2 linked regions of the Arabidopsis thaliana genome follow. The protein of the gene in region 2 purifies or fractionates together with the protein of the main gene of each other region. This does not show direct contact. Each region holds a gene or a part of one and is shown on either strand. Other genes may lie near its edges.

Evidence for each region.
Region 1: the proteins of AT2G46620 (region 2) and STRS2 fractionate together in Arabidopsis thaliana (co-fractionation; one large-scale study listed by BioGRID). This does not show direct contact.

What each region holds. Positions count from the first base shown.
Region 1 is NC_003076.8:2,792,491-2,796,246, forward strand, and holds the start of STRS2 (DEA(D/H)-box RNA helicase family protein), read left to right. Parts: upstream 1-1,897; 5' UTR 1,898-2,049; coding exon 2,050-2,291; intron 2,292-2,385; coding exon 2,386-2,492; intron 2,493-2,615; coding exon 2,616-2,671; intron 2,672-2,768; coding exon 2,769-2,993; intron 2,994-3,389; coding exon 3,390-3,596; intron 3,597-3,670; coding exon 3,671-3,756. Other genes in the region: PDE340 (P-loop containing nucleoside triphosphate hydrolases superfamily protein), read left to right, coding at 10-216, 291-377, 466-561, 641-856, 941-1,123, 1,342-1,569.
Region 2 is NC_003071.7:19,139,219-19,142,974, forward strand, and holds the start of AT2G46620 (P-loop containing nucleoside triphosphate hydrolases superfamily protein), read right to left. Parts: upstream 1,632-3,756; 5' UTR 1,329-1,631; coding exon 1-1,328.

The DNA.
Region 1 (3,756 bases), on a different chromosome or scaffold from region 2:
CACTCTCAGATCCTTGTGGCTACACCTGGAAGGCTCAAAGACCATATTGAAAACACTTCTGGATTCGCAACAAGATTGATGGGTGTGAAAGTCCTTGTGCTTGACGAAGCTGATCATCTCTTGGACATGGGTTTCCGAAGGGACATTGAGAGGATAATTGCCGCTGTTCCTAAGCAGAGACAAACATTTTTATTTTCTGCCACCGTACCTGAAGAGGTTACTGTCACTTTCTAGTACAAAGGCTCTCATTTTTTGGGTTGGAATCTTGAACTGTGTTTTTTGGTGTCAAGGTCCGCCAAATATGCCATGTTGCTCTGAAACGGGATCATGAGTTCATCAATTGTGTCCAAGAGGGCTCTGGGGAGACACATCAAAAGGTAAAAGATTTCTCTTTAGCTTAATTTGAGTGAATGGCCTGCCATATGATTGGATGTTATCAGTTTCTTATGTTTGTTTTATCTCCAGGTCACACAAATGTACATGATTGCATCACTGGATAGACATTTTTCGCTTCTACATGTGCTTCTTAAAGAACACATCGCAGATAATGTGGACTATAAGGTAACATTATCTCTCTAGTGCCATTATGAATAACCAATGTCTGTATTTCTGAACTATCCCGATTTCGTTGCTGTTGTAGGTTATCATTTTCTGTACAACTGCTATGGTGACAAGATTGGTGGCTGATCTGCTTAGTCAGCTAAGCCTGAACGTCAGAGAGATCCATTCTAGAAAACCGCAGAGTTACAGAACCAGAGTTTCTGATGAGTTCCGCAAGTCCAAGGCTATTATCCTAGTCACATCTGATGTATCTGCTCGTGGTGTGGATTACCCTGATGTGTCATTGGTCGTACAGGTAACCATAGTTTTCTGACATGGAATTGTTCTGCGACTACAAATTTTATCTCTTTTGTTTAACTGAAGTTGTTTGCTTTTGCAGATGGGATTGCCATCAGACAGGGAGCAGTATATACATAGACTTGGCAGAACCGGGCGGAAAGGGAAGGAAGGGGAAGGAGTCTTATTGTTGGCACCATGGGAAGAGTACTTTATGTCATCTGTTAAAGACTTGCCCATCACCAAGTCTCCACTACCGCCAATAGACCCAGAGGCTGTGAAAAGGGTAAGCATTTTCATATAAGCGCACTCACATGAATTTGTGATTCTACTGAACTTGGCAAGCCTTTCTTAACTCATATTTGCTGGCAATCCAGAATGAGTAGGGAACTTGAAACTGAACCTGAATCTCATAACACAACTCTTTGAAGTTAAAAGCTATGATTTTTGAAGGGTGTGAGTATGAGTGAGTATTGCTGGGTATAATAAACTTGTTGAATTCAGGTGCAGAAAGGGCTGAGCCAAGTGGAAATGAAGAACAAGGAGGCGGCGTATCAGGCGTGGTTGGGTTACTACAAATCTCAGAAGATGATTGCAAGAGACACGACCAGACTGGTGGAGCTGGCCAATGAGTTTAGCCGCAGCATGGGACTTGACAGCCCACCAGCTATCCCCAAAAATGTTCTTGGCAAGATGGGTCTCAAAAACGTTCCTGGTCTTAGAACCAAGTAGATTTTCTTTTTTCCTAGTGATCTGCTTTGGTTTTAAAACTTTAATGTTTTGTAAGTGTAGACGTGTAGTCTCTTGTCATTCTTGCTACACTCTTAAGACTTCCTAACTAAAAAATCCTATAAAAGTTGCCTTCTTATAAAGGTCTTTTGTTTGTAATGGCTTGTTAACATGAGTATTTCGATTTTCACTAAAAAAACAAAAAAAGTATTAAGTTGGATTATACGTGTTTGAAGATTTAACAAAACTTTTTTCTGATATAAAACAACACGTTTCAAAGCAAAGGGAGCAACTACATGCCGTTTTGTATATTTGTTGACATTTTGGGCCACTCGCATCTGTACCCTTAAGCCCTAAATTGTGTTTCCTACAAAACCTTTTAAACCCTAAAATAACCGACGGCGGGAATTTGGTAGTTGCAGAGCCTTACAGTTAAAGGCATACGCTTCACCGTTCTCTTCCGTCTTTTCTCCACTCGTTGGCATGAATTCCGATGGACCCAAATCCGGTAAGAAGAGACGAGAGATTCGTGCTAAACTTGTGAAGAAGTTGACGAGTGACGAAGATGGCTCGGGAAAGCTAGTCAAGGACAACAATAAGAGTCTAAAGAGGGGAAGAGAAGGCAAATCTGATGTTGATGAGCCTCTTATTAAGAAACCAGCTTCTACTACGCCTCTAGTGACTCAAATTGCTAAAACTTCAGATTCTTATTTGTCAAAGACAAGGTACATTTTTTGCGTTTCTTTCGGAGATAGCTTCAGAGCTATTCTTAGTGGTGTTTGATTCAGATTTCTCTTTATGGTAAAATGGTTCTTACAGATTTGATCAGTTCCCACTGTCTCCCTTAACGTTAAAAGGAATTGAGGATGCTGGATTTAAGACAATGACTGTTGTTCAGGAGGCTACTCTTCCTCTCATTCTCCAAGGTGAACTTGCCTAAAAGGCAGAAACTTTTGCATCTTTCTTCATGATTCCTTATGTTTTGTCATGACTTAAACATTTTGAAGCTTGACTATTCCTCTATTAATTATTCTTCCTTGGTTTTCCAGGTAAAGATATCCTTGCGAAGGCCAAAACAGGCACTGGGAAAACAGTTGCATTTTTGGTGAGATACCCTTTTTGGGTTCATGTTGGTCATTTAGGATTACAATCAGTTTGATTAATTGGGGTTTGTTATTAATGTTGATGTTTCTTTTTCCAAGCTTCCATCAATTGAAGCTGTTATCAAAGCTCCTCCTGCAAGCCGTGATAATAGGCATCCCCCAATTATTGTGCTTGTGGTATGTCCTACTCGGGAACTTGCTTGTCAAGCTGCTGCAGAAGCAAACATCTTGCTCAAGTATCACCCATCTATTGGTGTTCAAGTTGTGATTGGAGGCACTAAGCTTCCTACGGAGCAAAGGCGCTTGCAAAAGAGTCCTTGCCAGGTAAATTTTCATTTGTATTAATATGTAAACTTATTTCTGAGCAAATCATGCATTTCCATTGAGCTGGACTTCTCAGATGAAACTTGTTATCTGACCAATAGAGTTGCATATATTTCTTTTCAAACTGAGTTGGTTATCCTTCGCTAGAACAATATGGACTCATGATTTGAATTTCTAAGAATATGAATTAAGATAGATTGTTTTTTAAAAAGAAATGGATTTCCCTGTCCAAGTTAGGATTGTTTTTCAGTCACAGGATATGTTCTTTGATCTAAGCCTCATTATGCATTTAGATTTTTTTGCATTATTTGTCTTCCCTGCAGTCAAAGTGGCTGCAGAGATGGTGATCTTTGTCTCTGTATATTTTTGAATAATAACATATTTTCACACTCTCAGATTCTCGTGGCTACACCCGGAAGGCTCAAAGACCATATCGACAACACTTCTGGATTTGCAACAAGGTTGATGGGTGTGAAAGTCCTTGTGCTTGATGAAGCTGATCATCTCTTGGACATGGGTTTCCGAAGGGAAATTGAGAGGATAATTGCTGCTGTTCCTAAGCAGAGACAAACATTTTTATTTTCCGCCACAGTATCTGATGAGGTAAGTGTCAGTTTCTTGCACAAAGGCTTTCACTTTTGGGTTGGAATCTTGAACTGTGTTTTTTTGCTATCAAGGTCCGCCAAATATGCCATGTTGCTCTGAAACGGGATCATGAATTCGTCAACTGTGTTCAAGAGGGTGCTGGGGAGACGCATCAAAA
Region 2 (3,756 bases):
GAAACATCCTCCGACGTCGACTTTCTCGAACCATTTTCTAAAAGCAAACGTCGTCCAGTTCCTCTCCGATCACCATCAGTCTGCAAAGCATTGATGACATGCTTCAATGCACGAGTCGGCGAGTTACGATTCGCGATCATCAACTCTCCGATCTCGGCGGGACTCAAAGACGCACCGTTTTGAAATATTCCTTCAACTTGAGAGAAAAGCTTGTGCTCTTTAACACCTAAGTAGTTATTAGCGAGCGTTTTAAACGCCGTGAAATCACATAAGGGAAAATGAATGTGTACGTCGACCCGACCCGGTCGAAGCATAGCCGGGTCAATTTGTTCTTTCCCAGTCATCGTAAACACCATGATCCGTTCATCGGCGGTGCAAGAGCTGAGAATACTATCAGTGAAATTCAAAATCCCAGATAAATTCACAGCCGTTGATTTCGTCGAGAGGTGTCGATCTAGATCTTCGATCACGATCACTGATTTGCCTCTGGTTTGTAACAGAAGCATCTTAAGATCTGAATCATCAACTACTTTGGAGAGATCTATATCGTAAACATCGTAATCTAAGAAATTCGCCATTGCTGCGACGAAGCTTGATTTTCCGGTACCGGAAGGTCCGTATAAGAGATAACTCCGTTTCCAAACACGGCCCAGACGATTATAATACTGTTTACCTTTGAGGAAAGATTCGAGATCAGATTTGACTTTGTTCTTCAGATCCGTTTCCATGGCGATGTTGTCGAAGGTACAAGGATGATCAAACGGAATCGATCTCCACCGTCCGTTCTTCTTCTTCTTCTTATTCAGATGATCATCGATTCCGACGTTGATGAAAAGCTTAAGCTCTGTGTTCCTCTGTTCAAGCTCATCAGATACTGTATGTATATGCTGGAGATAAGAACCGAGAATTCTCCGTTTGTCAGCTTTACGAATCTTCAAAACGAAATTCCTCGCTCCATCTTCGTCTTCTCCGTTAATCCAACAAACTCTAGCGCCGAGAAACTCGTCGCCAACGACTTGGTTCCGATCTAACCGGAGGATGATTTCGTTGGACTTTTTCCCGGTGAAGAGGTTCGTGAAATCAGAATTCTCGATCGAGCTTAAGGAATTTAGATACATGTAGACTTTTTGGTAGAGATGATTCTCTTGAACGTTGTCGTTGAATTCTGGGACTTTGTAGAATTGGTAAACATGAAACCAGTCGATGATCTTCCTACGCCATAACTTGACCATGTAAATCAATCCAGTTTTGAATAACAGGATCCTAACTAAGAACAGAGCAAACGTTGACACAAGTAACAAGAGAAACGAATCCCAAAGAATCCCCATGGAGAGAAATAAAATAAGAAAAACGTAAAACCTCTCTCTGGTTCCAAAACTCTCCGCTATATTATATAGTAGTAACGAAGAAGAAGAGTTTACTAGGTTTATTAGAGAATAAAGAAAGCAAACGCATGTTCGGAGAATTGTGAGAAAAAACAAAGAGAGAGTGATTATTTTGACGGAGATTGAGAGAAAGTTTGGAGGAATATTAAGAACAATCGGAGAAAGCCTAAAAGGACGACGAGATATTATTATTTTTTTCTTAAATTATTCTTTAAGAAAAAAGGCGTGACGGGGACGAGGTCACTCAGCAATCAAAGGGGTGATTTTTATAAATCTAGGTAACGGCGATTTAGTTGTTTGACAAGTTCTTTGATTGCTGATTTGGAAGATTTTCTTTTAAAGCTAATAATCCACATGGCAAAAAATATTATTATTAGAAGAAGATAAAATATTCATTAGATTTATAGAGATTTTTTTGATACTTTGGCTGAAAAAAATTCTAAAAAATTATATATTTACTAATTTTAGATAAATAGTAATTAATAAAGCATTTACATTCGGAACTTAATTACCAAGGAAAAATATTAGAGTTAGGATAAATCTTCTATTACTATTCTAATTTCTATAAACCAAAAATTATACGTTTATCTACAAAAAAAAAAAAACTGAGAGAATATTATGGTCTTATCTACCACAAAATATGTTGCATAGTCTTTATAGTTCTCAATTAATATAAGTTAGGTGTCGAGTTAATTATTTATCTTTACGCATAAGGAAGATTAACAGCGTAATCTATTGGTAACGCGATACATGTTGCATTTGATACGGCAACCGAAATATTCTTCGTTGCAGATTAGTTTTCAACTATCGTGACAAGACGAACTTGTAAAGTCAACTTAAACGAGGAAACAAAGCAACATGATTTTTTATTTTTATTTTTGGTACAAAAAAAAATATTATTTATGTTCATTACTCGACTATTCCACATATATATTATTACAATCGGTATCAAGGACAGGACTTCATAGCTAATTCACTTAAGAAACAAGCTAAACTTGTCTGTCATGTTTTTCTAATTTGTCAAGAACATTTAGGGTCGGCGCAAGAGGAATTAGGCACTTCTAATTTATACTCAACTTAACAAGCGGCGAAACCCTTTGGCATTTTGAAGGGTTTTATTTGATGAATTGGTAACTAACTCGTAAATTTTAATATATACATTTTAGTTAGAGAGATGACTAGACTTATACTGAATAAAGAAAAAGAACGAACGGCCAAAAGACAGCTTTGTATAGTTCATGGTTCATGATTAAGCCCAAAAGTTTAGTTCCCACCACCAACTAACACTTACAATAAACAAAATTAAGTATAAGTTTCCGGAATAGCCGCATAATTATTCTTCCTATTATATAGCAGAAGAATAGACCGGACAATTTATGCCCCTATGCTAATTTTCTTAAACTATTTTGCTTTCAACGTCGACTAATTAAATTTTGATTTAACCATTAAATGAGTGCAGCACTTATTTCTTTCCAACAATTAATAGTTTTAATATTTTGCTTATTGTTGATATGTAGCGAGAGCATCGGATATTTGTATTTCCTAACTTGCACCAAAAATCAGCCTACTACAAAGAAGTTTAATCGACCAAAACACCGCCATTCAACGAGGGACTCAGTAATTTGGATAATATCGCAACTAATCATAATTAATTCATTACAGTTACAAGAAAAGTGTCATGTTCATGAGTAAATACACTTGTGGTCTTTTTATAAGATTGCATGTGTTTGGTGTTTGTTATTTGGTACAAGAAATATCAACACTCATTTAATTATGTTAAGGTATAAGTCTATATCATATAACTCTTATTTGGTTATCTATCTGTTGTTTTCTTTTTATTTGGTTAAAGCATTCATTTTGCTTAATGTAGATTTTTTTTGAATCTTAATATCATGCAAACTTAAATATGTTTTCGTCTAAAGACTAACGTGCAGACTTTTCATTGTTTATTTTGTTTGTAATTTGGAGGACTCTTCAAACAAGAATAGCTTCGTTTATACAAGGTGTGTATTGGCGGACTCAAAAAGACTTTGAATGTTTCAGCATGGGAATTTTCAAATTTCCTGAAGCCATACCCATACACGGTGGTCCTATATTAATAATAATTACACTCACTGGAAATAAATGTTCTTCCGTTATTTTTATCAGCTTTTGCTTTACATTTTCTGCACTAATCGATTGCCTGTAAAGTTGTACCAGTTGAACGTCATCGGTATGTGCATTCATCATGATTCCGTGTTCAATTATGCATATATTAAGATCGAGCTGATCAATCTAGTTGATCCCATTTAAACCAAACTAAAACCGTATTTAAACTTTTAAATACTGCAAATCCAGGTCAAACAAAACTGAAACATATGATATTTCTTAC